Sus scrofa: one gene and its partners. The protein of the gene in region 3 interacts with the protein of the main gene of each other region in a biochemical or structural test. Links are inferred from orthologs where the notes say so. Each region holds a gene or a part of one and is shown on either strand. Other genes may lie near its edges. The genes, in order: FKBP5, TUBA4A, MAPT, GSK3B, MAPK3, SNCA and HDAC6.

Evidence for each region.
Region 1: the proteins of MAPT (region 3) and FKBP5 form a complex in vitro, tested with the Homo sapiens proteins (2 studies listed by BioGRID and IntAct, with this or other methods). The link is inferred for Sus scrofa from reciprocal best matches to the Homo sapiens genes MAPT and FKBP5.
Region 2: the proteins of MAPT (region 3) and TUBA4A are reported together in a solved structure, tested with the Homo sapiens proteins (2 studies listed by BioGRID, with this or other methods). The link is inferred for Sus scrofa from reciprocal best matches to the Homo sapiens genes MAPT and TUBA4A.
Region 4: of the proteins of MAPT (region 3) and GSK3B, one has a biochemical effect on the other in vitro, tested with the Homo sapiens proteins (21 studies listed by BioGRID and IntAct, with this or other methods). The link is inferred for Sus scrofa from reciprocal best matches to the Homo sapiens genes MAPT and GSK3B.
Region 5: of the proteins of MAPT (region 3) and MAPK3, one has a biochemical effect on the other in vitro, tested with the Homo sapiens proteins (2 studies listed by BioGRID). The link is inferred for Sus scrofa from reciprocal best matches to the Homo sapiens genes MAPT and MAPK3.
Region 6: the proteins of MAPT (region 3) and SNCA form a complex in vitro, tested with the Homo sapiens proteins (3 studies listed by BioGRID and IntAct). The link is inferred for Sus scrofa from reciprocal best matches to the Homo sapiens genes MAPT and SNCA.
Region 7: the proteins of MAPT (region 3) and HDAC6 form a complex in vitro, tested with the Homo sapiens proteins (4 studies listed by BioGRID, with this or other methods). The link is inferred for Sus scrofa from reciprocal best matches to the Homo sapiens genes MAPT and HDAC6.

Annotation. Positions count from the first base shown.
Region 1 is NC_010449.5:31,547,031-31,551,188, reverse strand, and holds the start of FKBP5 (FK506 binding protein 5), read left to right. Parts: upstream 1-1,358; 5' UTR 1,359-1,465; intron 1,466-4,158. UniProt on the Homo sapiens protein: Immunophilin protein with PPIase and co-chaperone activities. Component of unligated steroid receptors heterocomplexes through interaction with heat-shock protein 90 (HSP90).
Region 2 is NC_010457.5:121,291,249-121,295,346, reverse strand, and holds the start of TUBA4A (tubulin alpha-4A chain), read left to right. Parts: upstream 1-1,298; 5' UTR 1,299-1,431; coding exon 1,432-1,434; intron 1,435-3,220; coding exon 3,221-3,443; intron 3,444-3,755; coding exon 3,756-3,904; intron 3,905-4,098. UniProt on the Homo sapiens protein: Tubulin is the major constituent of microtubules, a cylinder consisting of laterally associated linear protofilaments composed of alpha- and beta-tubulin heterodimers.
Region 3 is NC_010454.4:17,124,391-17,127,890, forward strand, and holds part of MAPT (microtubule-associated protein tau), read right to left. Parts: intron 3,138-3,500; coding exon 2,940-3,137; intron 1,911-2,939; coding exon 1,778-1,910; intron 1-1,777. UniProt on the Homo sapiens protein: Promotes microtubule assembly and stability, and might be involved in the establishment and maintenance of neuronal polarity.
Region 4 is NC_010455.5:140,289,609-140,293,108, reverse strand, and holds part of GSK3B (glycogen synthase kinase-3 beta), read right to left. Parts: intron 2,263-3,500; coding exon 2,156-2,262; intron 1-2,155. UniProt on the Homo sapiens protein: Constitutively active protein kinase that acts as a negative regulator in the hormonal control of glucose homeostasis, Wnt signaling and regulation of transcription factors and microtubules, by phosphorylating and inactivating glycogen synthase (GYS1 or GYS2), EIF2B, CTNNB1/beta-catenin, APC, AXIN1, DPYSL2/CRMP2, JUN, NFATC1/NFATC, MAPT/TAU and MACF1.
Region 5 is NC_010445.4:18,293,678-18,296,410, reverse strand, and holds part of MAPK3 (mitogen-activated protein kinase 3), read left to right. Parts: intron 1-907; coding exon 908-1,097; intron 1,098-1,277; coding exon 1,278-1,394; intron 1,395-1,702; coding exon 1,703-1,817; intron 1,818-2,215; coding exon 2,216-2,347; intron 2,348-2,733.
Region 6 is NC_010450.4:129,246,329-129,250,523, forward strand, and holds the start of SNCA (alpha-synuclein), read left to right. Parts: upstream 1-1,395; 5' UTR 1,396-1,473; exon of another isoform or gene 1,474-1,597; intron 1,598-2,230; exon of another isoform or gene 2,231-2,958; intron 2,959-3,075; exon of another isoform or gene 3,076-3,097; intron 3,098-3,446; exon of another isoform or gene 3,447-3,770; intron 3,771-3,847; exon of another isoform or gene 3,848-3,940; intron 3,941-4,079; 5' UTR 4,080-4,104; coding exon 4,105-4,195. UniProt on the Homo sapiens protein: Neuronal protein that plays several roles in synaptic activity such as regulation of synaptic vesicle trafficking and subsequent neurotransmitter release.
Region 7 is NC_010461.5:42,916,852-42,921,012, reverse strand, and holds the start of HDAC6 (histone deacetylase 6), read right to left. Parts: upstream 2,801-4,161; 5' UTR 2,704-2,800; coding exon 2,608-2,703; intron 2,466-2,607; exon of another isoform or gene 2,312-2,465; intron 2,301-2,311; exon of another isoform or gene 2,274-2,300; intron 1,882-2,273; coding exon 1,759-1,881; intron 1,675-1,758; coding exon 1,546-1,674; intron 1,407-1,545; coding exon 1,318-1,406; intron 1-1,317.

The DNA of each region.
Region 1 (4,158 bases), on a different chromosome or scaffold from region 3:
CTGCAAGTCCAGAGAAAAGTGCTATGTGCGACGGTTCTCCGGGTGGGATTTTCCCACTTCTGAGAGACAACTTTGAGTTCCTGGTGGTGTTTCCTGGGGCTAACCTGGCTTGCTTACCTGACACAAACAGCCTGGCCTGCCCCTCTCCATCCACGGGGCAGGTTGGGTGGGCAGGAAGGGGGACAGAGTTTTCAGGGAGAGACCCCGTTGTTAAGTCAACAAGCTTATTTAGGCATTAATTTCCCTGGAGGCAAGGAACGGTGTGAGGGGGTGTGGGTCAGTTTCCTTCATCCCTTGCCTCCAGCCCCCACAAAGGGCAAGGGCCAGACACGTGGGCTGGCGTGGAGAGGCGGAGGTTACACCAAGGCGGAGGTGCAAATGGACGGGGGCGGGGCCTTATTTGCATGGACAGCGCGAGGCCGCCAATCCGAACAGGCAGAGCGACAGCCCGCGCGCCTTTTGGGGGCGGACTGACGGCCCCGGGGCCCTATGGAAGGCGGGTCCTACGGCCGGCGGGGGCGGGACGGCGCCGGGCGCTGCCCGGGGGATTCGGGCCGGTTCGCAGGCGCTGCCAGTCTCTGGAGGCGGCGGCGTCCGGCGCGCGGGCGGCCTGCTGGGCGGGCTGAGGGGACAGCTGCGTGCGGGTGAGGCGGGGAGAGACAGAGCAGTAGAGCAACCCCGGCGACAGGTACCGGCGCCATGGCCGCAAGGATGGGGCGGGTGGTCGTGGAGCTCCGGGAGCCGAATTCCTCCTTTGCGGTCCCGCCGCCTTCCCGCTCCGCCTCCCCGCCTCCTCATGCGGCTCCCCAGTCCGGGAACGGCGCGTCGGGGAGAGAGGGGCCGGGGAAGCCTCGAGGCGGACGCGCCGGAGGTCCCCAGCCCGCCGCGGGGCTCCTTTGCGTCCCGCCAGGCCGCGGGGCCGGGGTTCCCTCCTGGAGGCGCGGAGCCGGGCGGCCGCGAGAGCCGCTCCCCGCCCCCGCCGCGCTCCCCCTCGCGGAGGCGAGGCCGGTGGCGCCCGCTGGTCCTCACCCGGCTTTTGTTTCCCGCCCGGGGTGACAGGTCCCGGGCTCCGGCTCGTCCGAGGCCCGGCGCCGGTGACTGCGGCCGGCCGGAGCAGGCGGCGGGACTGGCGGGAGGGCCGGGCGGCGCGTGAGCAGTAGCCGCCGCGGGCGGGAGAGAAACTTCGCCTTCCGGGCCCGGGCGGCGGGAGAAGTGGAGCTGGGGTGAGCCGAGCGTCGGGACGCCGCGGGCACGATGGAGCCTCGCTCACCTGGCGGGGCCCGCGCAGGGCGAGGATAACGGAGCGTCCGGCCGCCGCGGTCCTGGCTTTCGGTTTGCGCTCCCCGGGCGGTGGGTGTGGATGTGTGTTCGCCGCCTTCACCTGCAGACCCGGGACTGGTGACTGGAACAGCATTCCCGCTCTCGGCCGCGCTTAGAGGGTGCCAGGGCCGCTCAGTTTGAACAGGTGATTATTTTAGTGCCAGGTGAAGGCCATTGAGGAGTTTTAGGGCTCCGTATTCAATTCACTCCGGGGCGTTAGAACGCATCTACCCTTAATGACTTCTAAAAAGGGGTGCTGGTTGCAGTAGAGGAGTCAAACTAGTTCAATTTTTTAAAAACTGGGCGGGGGCCGGGAGAGCGAAGGCGAAGTTTCTCTCCCGCCGGGAGAGAACCTGCTTCACACGGACGGGCGGGGAGGAACGTCGTAGTCTCAGTTTGAAAATGGGCTTCTGCAGCGGTGGCGAAAGCATGGTAAGGTACAAGTTGTAAATGGAGAATGCAGAACTCTAGATATCCCTCTGTGTGGTTCAGGACAGCGTGTACAGCCTTTGGCCGCCATTCAGTAAATTCTGCATGAAGCAGTTTGAGCTCGTGGTTTTGGATTTACTTTACAGGAGTGGAATAAGGCTGAGCATTGAATGGGAGCTTTCTTTGCTTTTCTGAGGGCACACAGGAGTGTTTATGTTCATTGTCTTCCCATTTTGTTAGATTGCGGACCAGGGCAAAGTTAAGGCATATTTTGGTTGAGTGTTTTTAATTGTCTCTGGGAATTCTCCTTCCCCCACCGTTCCACCCCTGCCCCTCAGAAGAGGTCTCCAGAGAATTAGAGTAACTTTTCCTCTTGGGCGTTTGAGTCCAAATTCAAAGATGGATGTGAAAACTTATTCTTGTGGGACGTTTTTGTTTGTCATACTTAACATTTTCTGTTTCTGCCTCTCCCATCTGACCTCTGCTTAACACTCTGCAGTTATGGCCCTGACCAATTTAGGGCACCTATAGGGAAAAAAAAGTTTTAAAATAATATGTAGTAATTACTTAAAAATATGTTATGAAGGTTACTAATGACGTATTGGATAAACAGTTGATTTAGATTTTCTTTGCTAATATGTCTTTTTGATGTCTGTGCTAGGTATGGTTTATACTTAGATGTAAGTTTAACTTAGTGATAAAGTTATACTTCTGATTTAGTATGCTACTTTATTAGTGTTTCGTTGAATAGTAATTTTAGTTATTTAGATAATTAGTGACACCTTTTAAAGGTGAACTCTAACCAATAAGCTAATTGTGACTATTGGGGATTAAAAAAAAAAGCAAAACAAAGTGGTCTTTATAAAATGTTTTATTTCTTTAGAACAACAGGCTTATATGCTGAGAGGTCCTTGTCTTTCAAACATTTAACAAAACAAGTATGTTTCTGAATCTTTAATTTTTTAGGGATGGGAATTTGGGGTGAATTTCTTTTTTAAAACAATTTTAATCAGTTCAACGTGACTATTTTAAAATATTAGATTAGACAACTAATGAAATCTTCAATTTTCTGTTTTTTCTTGGATTGAATAGGTTGTTTAGTTTCCTCAAGGCTTCTTAGCTTAGAACGAATCGGTCTAGGAAAGGAAGACCATCCTTGTATATATAGGTGTAGAAGTAATTTCTATTGAAAGCTGAGTTGCCTTTTTGATGCTTAGTGAAGGTTGAATGGTTGAACAGTGACTTGTCCAGAGTGGATTTGATTCTATATAAATAGACTTGAAGACTTTTATGAGACCCGGGCTCTCATGGTTCTGAGCGATTTATGTAATTAATTGTTCTTTAAAGTGTATGGGAATATTAGTTTAACTACTGTGTGTAATTAGTTATAAAATCTTTGTCCTGTGATGATGCTTAAATATACCACATATCATAAAGCTACATTTCATAGTTTCATTTACACAAAAGCATATTTTGGGAACTTTAACTATAAAAGTGACTTTTAATTAAAAGATTGCTTTCAGATTCAGTTTTTACACACTTTAATTGCTGATTTTTGTCCCCTTTAACTTTGTTTACTTTAACTTGTGGTAGACCATATCATAAAATTATCAGCCACATTACAGTTTCAAATTTAAGCATAAGTTGAATTATCGCATCTACACAGTTTACATTGGGAATGTTTTTGTCATTAACCCTCAGGTGTGGCTCCCTTTGAGTTTGAGGCTGGGAAAATATTTTTTAACGAGTAAAGCCACAAAAAAACCGGAACACATTAAACCAACTAAACTTGAGGATAAATCTCACAATTCAGATATTAATACTGTTTTATTTAACAGTAATATGCTTGCTGTATCTCTCATTAATAGTCTCTGTAGGCCTTTAATGTAATTTTTCACAATTCCTAATAAAAGCCTATAGTTACATAATTTGGCACACTAAATTTGTAATTATTTTATGCTGAACAGTTACATGTTCTATACATTTTATAATTCTGAAACTATTTGAACTTTTAACCTAGCTGATTAGAAATTAGATTTTTTTCATTTTACATTCTGAATTTTTTTTTTACAGTGTTTTTTAACTACTGAAATTATGTCCCCAAAAGTGTAAGGGACATTAAATGTACATTCATCAGAGATTAGGCGGCCATTGGTAGGTACATCACATGATTATTGACTTAAAAGCAATAGCCACTGAAGTGCGATTTTTTTTTTTTTTTTTTTTTTTTTTGCGACTAAGATGTTTGTTTATTGTGTAAAAGACAGGTCTGCCAAATGAGACAGGTTAAAATAATTTATAGTAGGGCCTTGTGTATATGTAGCTAACAAGTTAGTAAGGATATTTCAGTAGTATTTGAGACACTAAAATTCAAGTACTCGAAGTAATTTATATCTCATAATTTGTCAT
Region 2 (4,098 bases), on a different chromosome or scaffold from region 3:
TACTGGGAAAAAAGACTTTGTCATCTTTCATTGCATCCCTTGCTACACCTTGCCTAAATAAGGTGTCAGTCAGCTATTTTGTTGGTAGAAAGTTGCCGTTGTTAGTTATTTTATCCTACTATGCTGTATACTCACCAGCCCTGGCCCTAAGAAACACTGTGATAGGAGAAGCAAGTGAGTCTTTTTCAAGTGACTAGTCTTGGAGACAGGTTTCTTAAGGATGTGCCAGTAGGCATATAGGGCACTTCTGATGACTTTCCCAGTGAAAGGAGACAGCTAGGAAATGTAAGGCACACAAAGGAAAGCAGACATAGATTGAAAAGTCCATTCCTGCAAGAAACAGAAATGAAACATAAAAAGAGGGAAGAGCTTCAGTGAAGACGTCCACCTGAGCGATGAGGGTGTTGAGATGCAAGTCACAAATCCTGCCCATGGTTTAGGGACAGAAGAGGATGGTAAAATCAAAATCAACCATAATGTCAGAATCTCCATTTTCTTTTTTTCCTCCTCAGAGTCAACAAACATTGTGCTATCTCACGACAACGCGTTCTGGGCGGAATCTTGTCTCCTCTTCACCGGTGAAGATGCCAAGGACTCGGTGAGGTTAAGTCACTTGCCCAAGGTCATATAGGGCTCCAGCAGGAAAGCGGGCAGGTGGCCATGGCGAGGCCCAGCTAATAGTGACGGCTCTGATGACGGGACCTCTGACTCGCTGGCAGTCGGCTAGCACTGGCAGATTCTGGGGGTCGGCCCTCGCTGACAGATTGTGGGGTCGGCTCTGCGGAGCAGCCGGAAGGATCGGCAACCTGGGGCTCAGGCTGTGCAGCTCCGGGTCCTCAGCCGCCCACAGGCATCGGCGAAGGCCAGCGGTCCCCGCCGGGGACCATCAGGCCGCGTGCGGCTACAGAGGGATCCTGGGGGACGGGCCAAAGCCAGGCAGTCGGCCGGAGCCTCCAGGGAGGCGGGGCGGGGAGGGCACTGGCGAAGGCTGGGTGCAGCCACTTTGGAAAAACAGCCTCTACGGCACCCGGCCTAAGTCAGAACACCTGAGCGACAGACGCCCGCATGATGCAGGTGCAGGCGAGACACGCCCTGGCACCGCGCCCAGCGTCCCAACCGCGGAGCTTGGGAGCTCGGAGTGTCGGCTCAAAACTAGGAGGGAAGGGTTAAAGCCCGGGTCGCTACTCCTAACCCACGTCCGACAGGTGAGCAACGCGGGCACGCTGAGGGGAGGGGACTCGCCGGGGCCCAACCCCTCACGGCCGCCTACCCTCCGGGGGCGGGGCCTCTGGGCCGCCCAGCTATTAGTGGGCGGTCGGAGCGCGCGGGCCCGCCCCCCGCGTATAAGAGCGGTGCGGCACTGCAGCTAGCGCAGTTCTCACTGAGACCCGTCACCCGGACTCTACGTGAGACCCACCGCCCGGACTCACCATGGTGAGTGCGGCCCCGCCAGCATCGTGCCTGTCCCACAAGTGTCCCCTCTCTTTCGGGGACCCTCCCTCCCGGGATGCTCGGGGCCCTCCATTAGGAGTTCTAGGTCTTGCGGAGGTTTTTTTTCTGGGGGGGGGTGCATTCTTTCCACCCCACCCCCTCCCCGTGACTTTGGGTGGGCAGCGTTGTCCACTTTCGGAGCCTGGGGAAGGAGGTGGAGTGGGGTGGGATTCTTCACTAGCAAATAGGAGTCCTCTGGAATCTCCTTCTGCTCTGCAAGCATTTGTGCCCTAACCCTCCTGGGGGGAGTCACGAGGTCCCGCGCCCAGTCCTTTCTGCCGGCGAGGGAGACCCGTTCGGCTGCCCTCGGCTCCTAGCCTCCCACTCACTCCCTAGTCCCTGGAACTAACCCAACACGTGCTCGGGGCAAGAAAGTGGAAAGGGGTCAGATTACCTGGTCCACCATCACCTTTTCCTCCGACTACGTGAGCATCCCTCCTACCCTCATGCCTCCCACCCGTGACTCAGCACCCCTCTTCTGAGCCTAGAGGGGTGGCAAGAATGGGGTTCGGCCTCGTGAGGCGAGCCGGACTCTCTCCAACAGGAGTCCGGGTGCGCGGACGGGCAGAGACAGCTGGCGCTGAGCGAGAGCACGGGCCGGGGCCAGGTTGGGGGGAGGGGAAAGAGGTGTGTGTAGGGGGTGGTATTTATAGCCCAGGGATGGGGGCCGAAATCCAATCCTCGCTTTCCGCTGGGATGTAACTTGGAAAGAATCTTAAAGGAGTACGAATGCAGGGCCGGAGTGCAGGATGGCGCTCACCCTGTCCAGGGCCAGGCGGGTTACCTCTGAGGCCTCACCGCAGGTTCCGCTTCCTCTTCTGGGTATTTGGAAACCGTCACCCCGCCATTTCGGTGTTGAAAAGGGAGGCTGCGCCGGCCCTGCAGCTGCACCGCTTTGGTTCTTCAGAGGTTAATTTCAGACTGGCAGGGATGAGCCTAGGGCAGCGAGGGCCCCAGTGCCCACAACCCTTATTGCGGGTGCCTGCCGTTTTTTGCTCTCTGCAATTTCAGTGCCTGCTCCGCAATGGATGAAGGTGGTGAAGATACCCAGAGTGTGGGGGTGGAGGTGGGGAGAGCAGCCAGATGGGATTGATCCCAGAGCCAGATAGGATTTAAAGTGGAGGAGGGCATCCTGATGGCTCATGTGGTCAGTTGATGCCAGACTGGAAGGCTGAGACACCCCTGCAGCCCGCAAGAATGAAAGGGGGCGAGGGTTATATGACATCCTAGTTGTTCATCCTCAAAGCAAAGAATTAATCAAACAGGGGACTTCTAGCTACACACATTCATAGTTCTGGAAGACCTTCTGTCTCTTCTGTTGAGAGCTGGTTTGTGGGAGTAGGAATTGGGAACAGCTGAAAGATCACTTGTCCTTGTCTCAGTTACTGCAGTGTTCGCCTGTTTCCTATGCACTCGCCCTCTCCGTCCTCCCCGAGTGTCCTATGAATGTGGCGGGAGCATGCGGAGCCCTAGCTCTTACCTGACAAGGTCCCCACGGAGAAGCAGGCTGAGGAAGTGGCCTGCCCTACTGGGTGCCCCTAGTTGGGAAGTCTTATGCAGGGGAGCCTGGGCAGGCTGCCAGCCTCTTCTGACCTCTGCCCAGCCCCAAGCCTCCACTTTAACCAACTGAGTCATCCAAACTGGTAGGTGATAGGGTGGGAGAAAGGCTCATGAGGTAAGGACTTCTGTATGTGGGGCTTATGCCGTGTCCTCCCTCTCTATCCTTCAGCGTGAATGCATCTCAGTCCATGTTGGGCAGGCAGGTGTCCAGATGGGCAATGCCTGCTGGGAGCTCTACTGTCTGGAACATGGGATCCAGCCGGATGGGCAGATGCCCAGTGACAAGACCATTGGTGGAGGAGACGACTCCTTCACCACCTTCTTCTGTGAAACTGGTGCTGGAAAGCATGTGCCCCGGGCAGTTTTTGTGGATTTGGAGCCCACCGTGATTGGTGAGAGGAAGAGGGGGGTGGAATGGAGGGAATGGAAAGTGACTCTAAGCTTCTGTCTAGAGTGAGGGTGTCTAGACCTGGCTTTCCTGGCCCTGAAAACCCCTTGCCCTGCTAGACACTAAAGAAGGCAAGTTGATAGCAGACTGGCTGGGCAGCAGGTCTGGGTTTCTCTCACCCACTGCTATCTCAGGCTGGCAGAAGCATGAGCTCTTCCATACATCTGACCACAGCTGCCAGGCTGGGGGAGGGGGGGTCTGTGCTGAGCCCCGCCTTGTGGTTTGTGCCCTAACGGTGTGGTTTATGTCCTTCCAGATGAGATCCGAAATGGCCCCTACCGGCAGCTCTTCCACCCAGAGCAGCTCATCACTGGGAAAGAGGATGCGGCTAACAACTATGCCCGTGGTCACTACACCATCGGCAAGGAAATTATTGACCCGGTACTGGACCGGATCCGCAAGCTGGTGAGAATTTGGGATGGAAGGGAGGGAGCTCTTGAGATGATGCTGGTGGTCAGAAACAGTTTTTTTTTTTTTTTCAGATCTGTTTCATGGGGTCATCTCTAATTGTACATGTGCCGGAGTCTGCTATGGCTATGGAACACTCATTAGTCTTACTTAGCCTTGACTCCTGAGGTGTTTTAGGCTTTTGTGGAGCC
Region 3 (3,500 bases):
CCCTGCTCCGGGGGGTCATCCACAGAGAAGAGGTGCAGTTGGGTTCAGGGACCTGGGGCCCTATCTGGGGTCTGGCAGGAAACAAGGCCAAGGGGCCTACAGGTGAGACCCATCCCCCCAAGAGCAGGTAAGATTTACAGAGAAACATGTTTCTTTTTTTTTTTTTTTTTTTTTTTAATTTTTTTTTTATTTTATTTATTTATTTTTTTGTCTTTTTGTCTTTTGTTGTTGTTGTTGTTGCTATCTCTTGGGCCGCTTCCGTGGCATATGGAGGTTCTCAGGCTAGGGGTTGAATCGGAGCTGTAGCCACCGGCCTACGCCAGAGCCACAGCAACGCGGGATCCGAACCGCGTCTGCGACCTACACCACAGCTCACGGCAACGCCGGATCGTTAACCCACTGAGCAAGGGCAGGGACCGAACCCGCGACCTCATGGTTCCTAGTCGGATTCGTTAACCACTGCGCCACGACGGGAACTCCCTGGAGAAACATGTTTCTTGTCTCTTGTTAGGACTCCAGTTGTATGAGTGAAAAAGAGCAGGATCAGACTCATATGTAAAATCCAGTCATCCCCCTGTGAGTTACCCCTGTGTCATATGTATTCTATACATGAGGGAAAACACCAGGGGAGAAAACCAACTGATGGGTCTTAATGAGTGGCCGAGCATGCAGGGCCCACTCTACAGCAAACTCACGAAACACCATGGCAAAGACACGCAGCAGACAAGGGCTTCGAGCAGCCACCCCAGGGTCAAGGAGCAGCAGAGGCAGGGTGGCACCAGCTCAGGCCCACACACAGCCCACACAAGACCCGCAGGCCCCTGGGCACTGCCCCAGAGCCAATGCAGGCCAGACACTTCCCGCGTCACGCATGGTCTAAACCCAGTTGGCTGGGACAGTCACCGGGGCAGTGGGACAGGGGCGCTCAGCCTGGATGTCCCCAGTAGAAGCAAAATGGCTCACTTGAAGCCTTGCCTCAAAGACGTGTAGGTTTTATTCACAGCAGCCAGGGGAACAGGCGCAGTGAGACTGCTCAGCAAAGACCCTCAGACAGCCCTAACATCCCAGCAAGTGAGCAGGGGCTGCACCCTGTGTGAGGTCACCCCTAGTGACCTAGGCCTCATCTAGGGGCTGAAACACCTCTCATCTCTCCTGGATAGGGGTTGGAGAAGCTCAGTGAAGGCCTTTTCCCATCAGTTATTAGTCTTGTGGCTGCATTTTCCTCAGGTTCAAAGTGCTCTTAGACTTAGTTACACAAACTTTCAGAGCCTTGATTTCCTCAAGGTAAAAAGTGGGGATTCAGGAGTTCCCACTTTGGCACAACAGGATTGGTAGCATCTCTGCAGCACCAGGATACAGGTTCAATCCCCAGCCCAGCACAGTGGTTTAAAGGATCTGGTGTTGCCACAGCAGTGTGGGTCGCAACTGTGGCTTGGATCTGATCCATGGCCCAGGAACTCCATATGCCATGGGTGGCAAGAAAGAAAGAGAGAAAGAGAGAAAGAGAAAGAAAGAAAGAAAGAAAGAAAGAAAGAAAGAAAAGAAAGAAAGAAGGAAGGAAGGAAGGAAGGAAGGAAGGAAGGAAGGAAGGAAGGAAGGAAGGAAGGATTCGATATCTAGCTCCGAAAATCAAAAGAATTAGAAAACAAAAGTTCGGTGCTTAGTAAACCACAGGTGACGTTCAGCGACCAGGGATTAACCATGAGAGCCTCCAGAGGTAGAATCGTCTACAGCCAGCTCTTCCCCTGACTCGGATGCCAGAGAACACCCTTCTTACCAGAGCCCGGCGGGGTCTTCGGGGAGGGCGTGGTTTTTGCTGGAATCCGGGTGGCATTGGCCGGGCCTTTCTGGCCTGGAGGGGCGGCTCCCCGGGGTGTGGCGATCTTGCTTCCAGGTTTACCATCCGCCCCCTGTAAACCGAAGCACGGTAGAGTGGTTTTTACCATTGGGAAAGGTTCCTGCCACCCAGCGTCAGTGCCAGCCCCATTCTACCACCTCGACTCAAAACGAGGCTAAGATGGGGTGACCCTGTGTCAGCCAGATGCAGCAAATGCCCTCTGCAATCACAAGGGTTTGCTGGGCACACAAATCCACACCGGCCACCAGGTGCCCTGACTGCCGTTTCCTCCTGGAGGAACAGTGCACAGGAGTTACCTGCACAGGCTGAGCGAATGTACTGAATAAAAAGTCAGCAGAGGTTACAGTGATGATCAAGTTCATCACCCGCCCAGTGTCGGCGGGCAGATCTGCAGACCCTCCCTGTGTGGGCAGCACCCTCTGACTCCCCTGAGGGATTTATCTGACTGGTGGTGGTTAGTTTCGGAGGCACAACTGAACCTGACTGAGGTTGCTAACCGAGCTTGGTCCTAATCTTCTGTTCTCTTCCAAATGCGCCTTTAAGGGGTCAGTAACCCCTTAGGAGCGCTAAGAGCCCTTGGCTAAGAACACCAGCTTCGATGAGCACATGGGCCGAAGGTGGAGCACAGGTGCACAAGCACGGTCAGCTGACCGGGGGGCAGGTGTGGGGTCTGGTGACCTTGACACATACACAAACTCAAAAAAGAAACTGACATTAACCAAGGACCACAAGATGGTTCAGGAAGGAGTGACCCAGTGGGAGAGGCGTGGCTGCAGAGGGATGCTGTCCAACCCAAAGGAGGGCAGTCAGGAAGCACTCCCATTACCAAAGTCAGGACCCCCAACAGAGCGGTGATTTTTCAAACCAGGGACCCCTCCGGTGCCTCGGGATGCTGCTAAGAGGGGTTGAGGGGTGCCCAGAAGATGGCGCTGTGCCTCCTCGTCCCCTTTCAACCAGAATTTTAACTACACGAACCTTCTAGGTAAGAATGTATCCAAAGAAAGGTCTTTGTGGCTAGGAAAGCATACATTTGAAAACCACAGGAGAGCAGCCTGGTTCTTCCCAAAAGTGGTTTCCTTACCTTGACTTTCATCTCCTTTGCTCCAGAACCGCCAGTTCGGGGTGTGACAGAAGAGACGCGTTTAGGAGAGGAAGATGGCTCTGGGCACACGGCAGGGCTGGAGGGTTTGATCAAAGGGTCTGAGCTACCAGGAGTGGGGCGTTTGGGGCTAAGGCAAGGCCTATTTTTCAGGGTTTTAGCGGAGGAAGGTGTGGATGTCTTAAACATAAACATAAATAAAATCAAAATAAAAGTCAGCACATGGGGAAAAGAACAAACTGAAAAAGGACAGACAGTAACTAAAAACAAATAAGGCAGGCAGTGATTTAAAGCCGTGATCTCCAGACTGTTTGGACCACGTACCCTTATCGGTTCCTCTCATCAGGAAGAACAGAAAGTGACCGTGCATTTGCGTATTTGTTTTTCGTCAGCTGACACACACTCTATGATGCTAACAGATGGTGTACGTTACACAAATGAGAGATGACAGCACTTTAAAAAGAGGTGGAAAGTGGAGAGAGGTCCTAGTGTGTTCTTCCTCCAGCTCCCTAGAGCCACTCAGGCCCCCCACTTGGGAGGCCG
Region 4 (3,500 bases), on a different chromosome or scaffold from region 3:
CACAGTATTAAGATGCACATATCCTAAATCTAAAAAGGAAGGTCAAATATAGGCTTGTAGGGTTCAAAAGGCTCCTGTTGAATCAGCAACTTTTGAATCTGATCTTAGTCATGCAAAGAAGGCTACTAGAGAGTCAGTACTCATAACATCCAGAAAATCGATTCTTAATAGAGAAAACAGACTACACTTGACCTTCTTTTTGAGAAAGGATTCCCAAAGAACTGCTGGGCACATGGACATTTACAGAAGTAATGTACTCTTAAGAGGGTCAAAGGTTTATATAAACATGCCTTAATATGTCAGTGCATGACTTTTAAAAAGAAGCAAACTGCATTTATTTTAGGTGCCCCTGGCAAAACTCATCCCAGTATGCATCTCATCCTGGTATGCACATGATTAGTTTCATATATGTGAATAAAACAGAAAGCAGCTAGAAAACCCAAACTCTCCAAAGATAAAAAGTGTTGAAATTTGCTCTTGGGATAGAGTCAAGTTAACAAATACCACAAAAAGAACACCACTTCATATTTCTTTTTTTTTTTTTTTTTTTTTTTGTCTTTTTAGGGCCAGACCCCGAGGCATGTGGAAGTTCCCAGGCTTGGGGTTGAATCAGAGCTGCAGCTGCCAGCCTACCCCATAGCCACAGCAATGTGCAATCCGAGCCATGTCTGCAAACCACACCATAGCTCACAGCAATGCCAGATCCTTAACCCACTGAGGAAGGCCAGGGATCGAAACTTCATCCTCATGGATGCTAGTCAGATTCCTTTCTGCTGAGCCACGACAGGAACTCCCACTTCATATTTCTATAGTACTTTCACTAACATTTTATTTAATCCTTACAGCCACTCAGAAAGGTAAACAGAATGGTTTGTAATCTCCACTTTATAGCTTAGCTGAGTAGCAGTAAACCTGGACCTCAAATTTTGGTCTATTCAACCAAAACATCCATTATACTAGTTCTCATCTGTCCCTGAACATATGCCTTATAACATAGCCATAGTGAAACTTTTGAGCATTTTACACACACAGACACAGACACACACACACACACACACACACACACATTATTATACTCTCTATCTTCCAGGGCGGCAGGTCTCAAGGTATGATCTGCAGAGCACTGGGTCTCCTAGACCTTTTCAGAGGTGCTGAGGGCAAAGTTATTTTCATAAGCTTCATTTTTCACTATGTTGACATTTGCACTGACGGTGCAAGAGAAATGGTGAGTTAAACTACTGGCCTCATGGCACAAATCAAAATGTTCTTTGGCACTTTGCCCTTTGGCAAAATAAAAATAACAGTAATGTGTTTCTGTTTAAAGGTCTTCATTCATACTAGAGAATTTTTACATGTTATCAAAAGAGAAAAAGTGTCCAAGTTCTTGTTACTGTGAGCTTTTTATTTTAGTTTTTGTTTGTTTGGTATTTGCATGCTTTTGTTTGTTTCTGAACTAAGGAATACTCTTCAGAAACAATATATAACAATAAAATAATTTTGACCTCCATCTGCATGTCACCCTAAGGTTGCTCCAGCTTCCTATTCATGCCCACTGAAAATACTTGTGCACCCCTACTAGTGAGCAAAAATAGAGTAGAAGAGGTCAATGAAGAATGAAGAAAATTGTCTCTATTCAATTGCTTCTATCATTAAAGATCTTTAGTGGCAACTTCTACAGAATTAATGGGTCTATCCAAACTACTAATTGAAAAAGTCAAAACTGTTCCTTTTGAGCTGACTTAAATAACCAATTGAAACAGCACAGTAAGACTCAGTAAAATGGTAATCCTACCACTTTACTCACGAACTTAATGAATGTAAATTCTCCAACTAATAATCAAGCTCAAAAGTGGGTATTTCAGGGTAATTTTTCTTTTAAGTGAAGAAAAAGTATACTTAGAATTTATTTAAAATTTTAAGTTAAAAATAACTGTAATCCTAGAGAAATCATACAATCACAAAGGAATAACTTTATTACTTTTTCTTATAATCCAAGAAACCTCAAAGTAGAATAGTAAATATAAATTAAATTCTAAGAGATGAAATTCTAAAAATTATATACATTTTTGTATATCAATCTTTGAGAAGAAACATATTTCTAAAAACAAGATGCAATTAATAACTACAACCCATTATATTCAGAATCAGTACTTACCTATACTAGAGGTATAATCAGTGGCTCCAAAGATCAACTCTGGTGCCCTATAGTACCGAGAACAGATATACGAAACATTGGGTTCTCCTCGGACCAGCTGCTTTGCACTAATAAAAGATCAAAAGCAGAAATTCTTTAAATTAAATCTAAACTGTAAATGAAACAAAACTGCTATCATTTGCAACACCGAATGTTTATCTAAGATTCCCATAATTCCTGTCATGCAACATACAGGAAAAAGAAAATATGAACCATAACTATCTCTGACAAAAGAAACTTATAATTTTAACACACCACTCTGAAAACAAAAAACAAAAAACAAAAAACAACAGTTACTTTTAAAGAGTGCATCTGACAATTGTTACCATGGAAAGATTTTAAAAATCACAAAGGATAAACACTATGTATCTTCTGCTCTTGTTCCCTGAATTTCACCTCTAAAATACAGAGAAAGAAAAGCAGACAAATAAGAGGTACCGCCTCTCACCAAAAAGCATAGTAATAGATTTTTTTTTTTTTTTTGTCTTTTTGCTATTTCTTGGGCCGCTCCCGCAGCATATGGAGGTTCCCAGGCTAGGGGTCGAATCGGAGCTGTAGCCACTGGCCTACACCAGAGCCACAGCAACGCAGGATCTGAGCCGCGTCTGCAACCTACACCACAGCTCACGGCAACGCCGGATCGTTAACCCACTGAGCAAGGGCAGGGATCAAACCCGCAACCTCATGGTTCCTAGTCGGATTCGTTAACCACTGCGCCACGACGGGAACTCCGTAATAGATTTTTAATATAAGAATGCTTAAGTAGGAGTTCCCATTGTGGTTCAGCGGTTAACGAACCTGACTAGCATCCAGGAGGACAAAGGTTTGATTCCTGACCTCGCTCAGTGGGTTAAGGATCTGGCATTGCCGTGGCTGACCCCTAGCCTGAGAACCTCCATATGACGCAGGTGGGCCCTAAAAGACACACACACACACACAAGAATGCTTAAGTAATATGTTTTTTAAAAGGTTAAGAAATCAGCACTCTCTTATAATTTGACTTCTGACTCGGTACTTCAAGGCTTACAGACCCAATCTATTTTATTTTTCCACCATTTGACCAATTTATTAACTGTCTAAACATTCATTACCCAATTAAAAAGACCCTTTCCTGTAGGACAGATAGAAAGCACAGTCTATGAATTCTAATTCTGTTGTCTATAAAGATTAATCACACCTTCTTTTAATCCAACTTTCCTTCCCAAATATTTTATGGCATGCATTTTAAATATTAAAGTAAATTAAAATTTTTTGCAATGTTTCTCAATATAACTTGAAGACAAACTGAAATAAAAAATGCTATAGA
Region 5 (2,733 bases), on a different chromosome or scaffold from region 3:
TCATCTCAGCTTATCTCTACAACCCTCTCTAAAGAACAATTCCTTTTTTGTTTGTTTATTTGTTTTTTGGCCACACCAGTGGCGTGTGGAAGTTCCCAAAGCAGGGATCGACTCCAAGCCACAGCTGCAACCCACATGGCACCTGGGGTGACCCTGGTCCTTAACCTGCTGTGCCACAGCGGGAACTCCTCTAAAGAAGAGTTCTTTTCCCTACTTTACAGATGCGGAAATAGAGGCATAGATGGTCAAGGTCATAAGACCCATTAGCAGTGGAGGAGGGATTGAGATGCTGGCAGGTGACCTCCAGAGCTGATGCTCTTTTTTTTTTTGCATTTTAGGGCCGCACCCACAGCATATCAAGGTTCCCGGCCCAGGGGTCGAATCAGAGCTGCAGCTGCCGGCCACAGCCCACGGTAATGCCACATCTGAGCTGCATCTTCAACCTACACCACAGCTCACGGCAATGCCAGATCCTTAACCCACTGAGGCGAAGCCAGGGATTGAACCCGCATCCTCATGGATCCAGGTCGGGTTCCTTAACCACTGAGCCACAAAGGGAACTCCCCAGAGCTATTGTTCTTAACTGTGACGCTCTCCTGCCTCCCGCAGTGTATTGTCCTCCCTTTCCCAGTAGGGAAACGGAAGCCACGTAACTGAAGTGCTTTGCTCAGGGGTCACCAGCTGAGCGCCAGCAGAGGTCTTGAGCCCACCTGCTGAGTATGAGCCTTGCTCATATAAGCTGGCAGGTCTTTAAGTTAGGGTTAGGGTTAGGGTTAGCTGGCAGGTCTTTAAGTCCCAGGGGCATCAGCTGGAGGGGCGCATCCTAGTCACCAGAGCCTGTTTTTCTTAACCAAGTGCCACCTGCCGCCCCCACCTGGGGGGGGGGAATCTCTGGTACCACCTGCAGCTACATTGTGCAGGACCTGATGGAGACAGACCTGTACAAGTTGCTCAAAAGCCAGCAGCTGAGCAACGACCACATCTGCTACTTCCTCTACCAGATCCTGCGGGGCCTCAAATACATCCACTCCGCCAACGTGCTCCACCGGGATTTAAAGCCCTCCAACCTGCTCATCAACACCACCTGCGACCTTAAGGTCAGAGGGTTGGGTGCCCATCCTGCCCCTGGGTCTCAGGCTTCCCGGTGACCCGTAGCACCCAGGGGTGGCAGAGCATCACGAGCAAAGGGAACCGCACGGGCAGCGGCATGGCCCTGTGACTGCTTGGGCCCAGGCGGTCTTGAGCCCCGAGCTTTAGCAGCCTGGGTTGCCTTCCAGATCTGTGACTTTGGCCTTGCCCGGATCGCGGATCCCGAGCATGACCACACTGGCTTCTTGACGGAATATGTGGCCACGCGCTGGTACCGGGCCCCAGAGATCATGCTTAACTCCAAGGTAGCCCCCCCGCCCCCACAACCCATGAAGTGAAAGGGCCGGGTTCCAGAAAGCCCTGGAGTCGCCTCTGAGCCAGGCACTGACATCCCCCGTGCCCGTATGCAGGAAGTCCACCTCCCGGGCCTTGTCACCTCATTCTGGTTCTTGGGAACAAAACTGCAGATTAGCTTCTCTGGGCCTCTGCCCTCTGCCTCCCTGGCTGGCCTTGAACCTAGATTTCAGGGATGGGGGCGGGAGGTGGCTTGGCCCAAACAGCAGGGCCCTGTTGAGACTGGGGTGGGAGCCTGCCACTTTCTCCTCCTCCCCAGGGCTACACCAAGTCCATAGACATTTGGTCTGTGGGCTGCATTCTGGCTGAGATGCTCTCCAACCGGCCTATCTTCCCGGGCAAGCACTACCTGGACCAGCTCAACCACATTCTGGGTGAGGGGGGGCCTGGCCAGCTGGGTCGGGGCGGGGGATTAGCCTATTGGAGGTGAGATTTCTTTAAAGGTCAGGGTCAGTGTCCGAGAGTCTGTGAGAGGCAGGTCGGGGGGACCACGGTGTGTGCAGCCCCTTGAGCATTTCACAGTATTTCACTTGAGAGTGTCCCCCTTGGATAGATGGGAACAGCAAGACTACATCTGCCCCACACTTAGGAAAAGCTAGAGCTGGGATTTGAACCTAGGGCTGCCCAGAGCCAGACCTCTTGCTCTTTGCCAGCGCAGTATCGGCTGTGAGATAATTGTCGTCCTCGAGTAAGTTGGTAGGAGCGTTTGTTCTTGGCTCCTTTCGTTCCCAGAAGGAATAGGCTGCTCACCGGGTCACCTGCTTACCCACAGGTATCCTGGGCTCCCCATCCCAGGAGGACCTGAATTGTATCATCAACATGAAGGCCCGAAACTACCTGCAGTCTCTGCCCTCCAAGACCAAGGTGGCCTGGGCCAAGCTTTTCCCCAAGTCGGACCCCAAAGGTGAGAGAAGCGTGGGAGCCAGTGTGTGTTTGGTAAAAACTGGGTGCATGGAGTTCCTGTCGTGGCTCAGTGGTTAATGAATCTGACTAGGAACCATGAGGTGGCGGGTTCGATCCCTGGCCTCGCTCAGTGGGTTAAGGAGCCGGCGTTGCCAGGAGCTGTGGTGTAGGTCGCAGACGCGGCTCAGATCCCGAGTTACTGTGAGCTGTGGCGTAGGCCAACAGCTACAGCTCTGACTGGACCCCTAGCCTGGGAACCTCCATATGCCGCAGGTGCGGCCCTAGAAAAGGCAAAAAGACAAAAAAAACCTGGGTGCAGGGGAAAGTACATGAGCCCTGCAGCTGCCTGAGTAGACAGGCCGCTGGACACAGAGAAGCAAAGTAATG
Region 6 (4,195 bases), on a different chromosome or scaffold from region 3:
AGTTCTACGTGTACACACATTCCATTCCCTTTCAGATGCTTTTCCCAGCATGTATTTTTCAAAACTGTTTTAAGGGAACACTCAAGAGCTGAGCCTATCGCTGTTTATAAATCTTACTTAAAATTGAGAAAAGACCATTGAAATAGTATTGTTTATTTTAAAAGATTTATATTTTATGGATGCAGGGTTAAATATTTACAGATGAAAAGACATATATAATTCTTGGGATTTAGTAAAAATTGGGGGAAGGAGTAGTGATAAATATAGGGAATAGACAAGAATGCAGATGCACGTGGTTGACTGCATTAGAAAACAATGGAAGGAGTTCCCGTCGTGGCGCAGTGGTTAACGAATCCGACTAGGAACCATGAGGTTGCAGGTTCGGTCCCTGCCCTTGCTCAGTGGGTTAACGATCCTGCGTTGCCGTGAGCTGTGGTGTAGGTTGCAGACGCGGCTCGGATCCCGCGTTGCTGTGGCTCTGGCGTAGGCCGGTGGCTACAGCTCCGATTCAACCCCTAGCCTGGGAACCTCCATATGCCACGGGAGCGGCCCAAGAAATAGCAACAACAACAATAACAACAACAACAACAACAAAAAAAAAAAAAAAGAAGAAAGAAAACAGTGGAAGCTGGGTGATATTCCATGGAGAGTCCTTTATTCTATTTTTGTTTTTGTTTTGCTTTTTAGGGGTGCACCCGCAGTATATGGAAGTTCCCAGGCCAGGGGTGGCTGGACCTGTAGCTACTGGCCTATACTACTACTACAGCCACAGCAACACCAGATCCCAGCCCTATCCCTGACCCACACTGCAGCTCATGGCAATGCAGGATCCTGAACCCATTAAGTGAGGCTGGGGATGGAACCCGCATCCCCACGGATACTAGTTGGGTTTGTCACTGCTGAGCCACAACAGGAATTCCTATTCTCTCCATTCTTGTATGTTTGAACATTTCCCATAATAAAAAGTTGAAAAGAGAGGGATCATCTTGGTTCCTCTCCCTTTACAAGAGAAAACTGAACATAACTTGTATTGGCTCTCAAAGCCAAAAAGCAAACCAACTTCCAAGTTTCCTTCCAAGTTCCCCAGGAAACAAAATAGGAGCGTTTTTAGAAAGCCTACTTTTTAAAAGGGCCGACCATCAGTGCAAGGAGTAGGTTAAGCAATATATATACTTGCTTCCCATCTCTTTGGGTTTCAAACTGTTGTTTTTGTAGATTTAAATTACTTTTTACTCACATTCCAGAATGTGAGTCCAAGGATCAGAGAAATTCCCCCCCACACACACACAAATAAACACAAGACAAGCAAAAAAAAAAAAAAAAATCTGCAAAGACCTGTTTTTTCCCCTTCCAGTTCTAAAAGCATCCTCCTATTCCAGGCAAAGCAAGCAGAGGCAGTCTGTTAGGGGGAGGAGCTTGGTTCTCCATTCCGGTGTGATCCAGGAACAGCTGTTTTCCCTCCAGCTCTGAAAGGTGAAACTGTGTCAAGCAATGCAAAAATTGTCTTGAAGCTCGTGCATGTGTATGTCTGTGTGTCTGTGTGTGGGATGGGGTAGCCTGTCAGCCCCGAGGACAACGTGAATCAGTAGTCGGAAAGGTGAGTGGTATGTGGAATCTCTCTTTTCAGAAGGGGCCCATGAAATTGGATATGACGGTTCAGGAGACTCAGTCACTCTGGATTTATCTCTTCCATCCAGGAACAGGAATCTGGAAAGTAAATCCCATTCTGAGAACAAAACGCCTTACAGCCGCTGGGTTTCGACGGCTGGGGAATATTTATTCCTTGATCCACTGATGGGAAAAATCAGCGTCTGGCAGCCGCTGATTGGTGGAAAGAAAATGGTGATAGTGGGGTGGGAAGAGGATTTGACGAGCCTCCTCCTGCCTCCTCAACCTGTAACTCATCCTTACTAGTCGCCTCTCCACCTGCCGGACCACTTCGGGCTCAGGAGAGGTTAAGAACAAACGTTAAATCCGGAGAATAGTTAAACAAAAGCTTCGTTAACATTGTGTCCTAAGGACCCTTCATCCAATTTCAGTGATGCGAGGGAAACCTGCGCTTGGTCCTGATGCGGGTACCTTCCGAAGCTACCTGTCTCCTTTAGCAGCTCCCCGAAAGACTGGCGCTATTTTGGTGGTAGAGCCCTCAGACCCCACTTCCCCGGGCTGGCTCATGACGTGGGGGTCCGCAGGAAAAACCGGGGGGAAAGGCGGAGACTGGGAAGGAGGGGGGATGGGGAGAGAGAAACAGACATCAGACATCAGCCCAAGCCTCAGAGCTCCGGATCGCCGCCAGAGCCCGGGCGCCCCTGAACTTGAGGTGAACCGCCCAACACCCCACCTTCCAGTCTCCCAAGCCCAGGCGGGCGGCTGGCGTTGGAGGTACAGCCTCCCACCACCCCCATCCGAGAAGAGGAGTGAAGTGCACGCGGCGGGGAAAGCAACGCGCGCAGGGAGCGGGGCGGGGAGCGGCGCTGACAAATCCGCTGCGGGGGCGGGGAGCGGAGGAGAAGGAGGAGGAAGACGAGGAGAAGGACCGAGACCACTAGAAGGGGACCCAGGAGAGGGGGCGAGAGACAGAGCGCAGCGACGTGGGGGTGAGGTGTGTGCTGGCTTTGGAGCAGACCCGGGGACCGCGCCTTGCCTTTGGCAGCCTTGGCGCTCTTTCGCCGCCTTCCCTTCCTCCCTTCTTCTGCCTGGAATCCTCTCGTGCGGGGGACGGGGAGTGGCGATTCGACGACAGGTTCGCGGGTTCCCTCCCACGCCCCCAGCCTCTCCCCCCAGGGTTGTGCCGACAGCCGCCTCCGCTGAGGGCCATCCCTCTCCTGGTGCCGCCTCCACCCTTCCTGTGCGCTCCTATCCTCCTCCCTCCCATTTAAATAATATTTAGGAATTGTTTTTAAAATTTTTTAAGTGGGTGCGGGGAGGATCGGAGTTCTCAGGAGCCAAGGGAATCAGGTAAGTACCTGTGAATCTAAGTGGGCAGCTTGGGAAATCTTGGAGAAAACCTGGTGGGAGAAGAGTCATTGCGGCGCCTGGGGGGGGGGGGGGGTTAGTGCTGCGGTGAGGACCTGCCATAGTCGAGTCTCTCTTAGAGGTGGGCACTGACCCCTTTGGTGAGCTTGAGGAAAGTAAATTGACTCGGCTTACCTCTCTTCTCGTCCTCAAAGGCTGAGCGGTCTGGATTCTCCGGGATACGCTTTTCCTTTGGGAAAGTCGAGGATGCTCGAAGGATTATAACTATTCAACTTTTATTTCTTACTTTCCTTAAATCCCCCAGCCCACCCTCTCTGTTCTCTCTGTAAAGTAAGCAAGCTGTATTGGGCAAGCCTTTAAATGGAAGCGCAGAGAGAGCAAGTCAACAGGTGGGAAGGGGTTAACAGGTGCTGGGCGCCGGGTGGGTGGCGGGTTCAGCGGGCTAACTCCACCTCTGGCAGCTGGCGCGCATCCGGAGACTGCCTGCAGGTGTGAACGCTCCTGCTTGCCTGCTCAGGGTAGACAGCTGAAGGTGGGGTACAGCGTCCAGTGGGTGAGAGCCACTGCAGGTGGGCTTGCAGTTGGCCTGGGGTTCAGCCACACCCAGAGTGAGTGGTTCTCTTCCCACCCCTCTTCCTGATCAACCTGTTAGCTGTTTGGGGGATTTATTTTGAGTATCTCTGACCCCCCCTCCTCCAGCTCCTTTTTCCGTTTCCTGTGATCTGTCTTCTAAACGCACTTCTAACTTAACACCTTCATCGTTTGGACCCTGGGAAATTGAAAGGGGGGAGGGGGTAAGTCCTTTCATGTAACTCCACTTGGAATGCGGTGAGAACAACTCAGATGATTCATCCCAATCCATGTTTAGGAGGCTAGACTTCCACCAAACAAGATGGATGGGAGATGCTAAATTTTTAATGCAAAAGCTAAAAAAAGGCTGCTTTGTCCAGTGGTTGAAACAGAGGTACACCTACAAGAGTCCTGCATTTTTTTTGGGGGGGGGCGGGGGAGTCTACTGATCTTTCAGTGATTTTTACCTTGGGTGGTTCTAATTTCGTTTTGTTTTACCCCAAAGTTCTCAAAGTGTATTTTGTGTTCTCCAGTGTGGTGTAAAGGAATTCATTAGCCATGGATGTATTCATGAAAGGACTTTCAAAAGCCAAGGAGGGAGTCGTGGCTGCTGCTGAAAAAACCAAACAGGGTGTGGCAGAAGCAGCGG
Region 7 (4,161 bases), on a different chromosome or scaffold from region 3:
CTGTAGCTCACATCCTCACCTCCTGCAGATCCCCACTCGCGTACTGAGGCCTCCCCTGACCACCCTATTTATTCTGGTCTTTTTAGGGCTGCACCCACAGCACAGGGCAGTTCCCAGGTTAAGGGTCGAATTGGAGCTGCAGCTGCCGGCCTACACCACAGTTCACGGCAATGCTGGATCCTTAACCCACGGAGCGAGGCCAGGGATCGAACCCGCATCCTCGTGGATCCCAGTTGAGTTCGTTAACCACTAAGCCACGAAGGGAACTTCAATAGTAAAGTCTTTTGACATCCTGACTCTTCCACTGGGATAGGGGTGATAGATACTAAACTGGTGAATACATAAGTATAACAACAGACAAACAATGACATGGCTAGGAATAATCTGAAGCTCAGGGGAAGGGGAGTGGCCAAGCAAAGCCCTCTCTGAGGGTCTCCTGGAGACATGACTGTTAACTGGGAGAGAAGGTGGAAGTGAATTTCTGGAAAGGGCATTGGCCAGAGTAAAGGCCTGAGGGGAGGGAGTGCCTGGCATGTTGGAAGCACAGTAAAGGGACCAGTGTGTGTGAGGTGAAGCGAAGCAAAGCGAATGAGGGGGAGGACTGGCTGATGAGGTCACCAAGGTGCTAGGGAACCAGATCACGTGGAACCTTAGAGGCCAAGAGGCTGGGGTGAAGAATGTGAACTTTACCTTCAGGGCAACAGTTTGCCCTTGAAGGACTTAAAGAGAGAGAACATCATCTTATACATATTTTTGGCGTGGAGGGGGAGCATGGGCAGCAGGGCTGAGGGTGGGAGGCCTCTGCAAGTCTAGGTCAGAGATGATGGTGGCAGCAATGGAGGCGGAGAGGAGAGGTGAGATTCTGAACATAGAGCCAAAAGGATGTGCTGATAGATTGCAACGTGTGACTCTTCTGTATCAGCACAGACATCCCTTCTTCAAGGAAGCCTCCTGGGAACCCTGGATGCTAGTCTAGGGTCCTCTATTAAACACTTCTGACTCCCCTGGTCTCGAGTCCTTCTTCATGAAAACACCTCACACTGCTGGCGGCTGTTTGATGACCTGCTCTCCTTATCGCCTGTCAGCTCCTGGAGAAGGATCCCTGTCTATCTGGTCTGATACATCTGTAATCACCATCCCTGGGCACACAGTAGGCTCTCAATAGATATGTGTTGACTAAATGAAAAGAACCCATTCGAGCCTGAGCCTCGTCTCCCTAGGTCATGTGCTAGAGTAAGAAAGGATTCATTCTTGCTAATGGGCTCTAAGGGTGTATGTTTGTGTGATTTGAGTATGGCCTGGAGAAGCCAGCCTCACCTGTCATCCCAGAGGCAGTGGAATTCATTTAGCTGCTCATCCAACACCAAGCCAGTGCCAGACGGTGTCCTGGCCTCCAGGTTCAGATCCTGTGAGGAAAAAGAAAAAAGGGAAAGGCTGATGCATTGAGAGCCTGAGTCAGAGGGAACCTCCCACACTCTCCAGGATGGAGAACCTCACGGTTTTGATTGTCACAGGAGGCTACATTGCAGCCAGGCCCCCTCTCACCAGCCCTTGGAGCCCCACGATTAGGTCTTGCTCGGCTGCTTGGCTAAGCTTCTTCATTCTGCCTTTCTTCTTTACATCCGCTAGATTGGGGCTGGAGCGGAGTCCGGCACCCTTTTTAACACCTCGCTTCTGCCAAACAGAGAGAAGGGTCAGAGTCCAGTACACGGCCCACTGCTCCCCCTCCCCCTCAAGAGGGCCGGTCAGGGGCCTCACCGAGGTGACGCTGGAGTCGTGTGGGGGGGAGTGGGGGTTGTGCCTACTTCTTCGCTGCCTGGTTGTGGTGGAATCCTGGCCGGTGGAGGTCATGGCTGGGGAGACTTCACCCCTGACGCGGTTCTGGGGGGTGGGATGGAGGTGACTGAGAAGGGGCCCCGAGCGCCCTGAAGACCCCTCATCCCAGCCCCTTCCCAGGCCCCGCCCCCTACGCTAGCCTCCATCCCTTAGGCTATCTATTCCCCACCACCTCTAAACTCCGCCTCTCTCAAGGCTCTCTCCCTCCAAGGGGGTGTCCATTCCACTTGGTCCCGCCCATTCCACGAGGCTCCACCCCTTTACACTATTCTTTACCCTTTCGGTCTGGCTCTTTCACAGAGCAATTAACCCCCTGGCCCAGTCCTGATCTAAGCCAGCCCTTGCCAGCTAATCACCGCCCCTTTCACTCTATCAAGCCCCATTCCCAGATCCTTTCATTCCTCAAAGCCTCGCCCAGACCCCACCCCTTCGCAAACCTGCCCTGGCCAGCCAATCTCCCAGGATAATCACCCACCCTTTCACTCAGCCAGCCCCAGCCCCGGGCCCCGACTCCACCCTTAACGATCCACTTAACTCCACCCCTTATCGGGCTGGACCGGCACCTTCCACTAGGCTAGATCCCGCCCCTAACGTTTCAAGGAGCCCAGCTCCTCAGGGGACTGCCCTTTCCCTTCCGCCAGGCTCCACCCCCTGCCCAGGCCCAACCCCAAACGCTTCCCCAAGCCCCTACAGCCATTTCCGAGCCCCTCCCCCAGACCCGCCCCCCCCTCCCCGCCCCCGCTGTCGACGTTGACGAATCCCTCCACTCACTTGGCGCAGCCCCTTTCTCAAACTCCGCCCTTGGCGCGCGCCGCCAATTTCTCGGCGACCTGTAGGGCCGCGGGTGCCTGAGCCTCTCTTTTCCATTGGGCCAGATCTCTCTACAGCCCGCCCCGATCCCGCCCACACCGGGGAGAGCCGGCCTTGCGCCTCCAGCGGAACGCACAAACGGCGGATCAGCGCGTCAGTGCGCGACGCTGGCCGTGCCGCGCCTGCGTGAAGCGCGCGCCGGCTGCCTGACGCGGCGCTCGGGCTCAAGCTTCTCCCCTCCCCCAATCGCCACAGCTGTCACCCTGGCGGTCGTGACCGCGGTTTCTTTGTCCCTGTCCAGTTACCTTAGGAGCCCACCGGACTCGCGCCAACTGTACCGTGCGGTGACTCAAGAGTGCAAGCAAGCAAGCGAGGGAGTTAGGAAAGGGCGTCTTCTCCCTGCCCCCTGGCTTCCCGCGCGGCGCGCCGTGATGACGTAGCGCGGGCGGGCTGGTGGCTGGGCCTGGAGCGCGGTGGAAATTGGACGAGGCTGGTGGCGGCCAAAAAGGGAGTGGTGATGATGACAAATGTGAGAATTTTCTGAGTTCATATTCACTAAGGTGGTACGCAAGGAAGCACTCACCAAATGTTAGCTATTAATAGTCTGCCGCGAAAATGGATGGTGGAATGGAAGGGGGAATGATCGTGACGATAGCAAGTTGTATGTGACAGGCATTGTCGTAAGCCACAGTTCTATGAGGTACTTCCCAGTACTAAGGCTGCTTTGCAGATAAGGAAACTGAGGTTATGGGACTTAGCCATGTGACTTTGGGCAAGTTACTGAACGACTCTGTGCTTCAGTTTCCTCCTCTGGGAAATTGTGATAATAGTGCCGGGGAGTCAGAATGGACCTTGGGAGGGGAGTTTTTCTTGGGTGACAGCTCTTCCTGTCTGCTCCCTCCAGTGGGTAACCTCTGCACGCAAGCTGGAATAGAAAGTGTATGGGTAGGGGGGAGTTGCGCCCCCCCCCCACAATGCGCCCTCCCAACTCTCTCCCACCCCATGGCTAAATGTCTGAATATCAGCCTCGCAGGAGGCCGGTTTGTCCTCCTAATCTCCCTCTCTCATTCTTCACCATTTCCTACCGGGCTGTAGGCTGGGGCGGGAGAGATAAGGGGTCTGGGGTTCAGCATCGCTGACTAACCAACAGATTGACAGCCCCACCGCCCAGTAGCTGGGCCCTCTGACACTCTTGCAAACCCGTTTCAACCTAGTCTTCCCTTCCACTCTTTTCCTACCTGAACGTGTCTTTTGTCCCAGTGGAAGAGGGTCGCAGCTAAAAGACCTTTACACCTCCACGTACGCCAGAGAAAACATGTATATGCAGTGATAAACACAGAGGAACGTTCTGAGGTGATGCTTGCAAAGTGAAAGAGTAGGGAGTCTTGTAAGGGCCAAGACCCACTTTTTTTGTATAGTCAGAAGGGAGGTTTCTGTACAACAAAGGTTGGCAAACTTTTTCTGTAAAGGGCCAGATAGTAAATATTTTAGGTTTTGCAGGCCACATACTGGCCT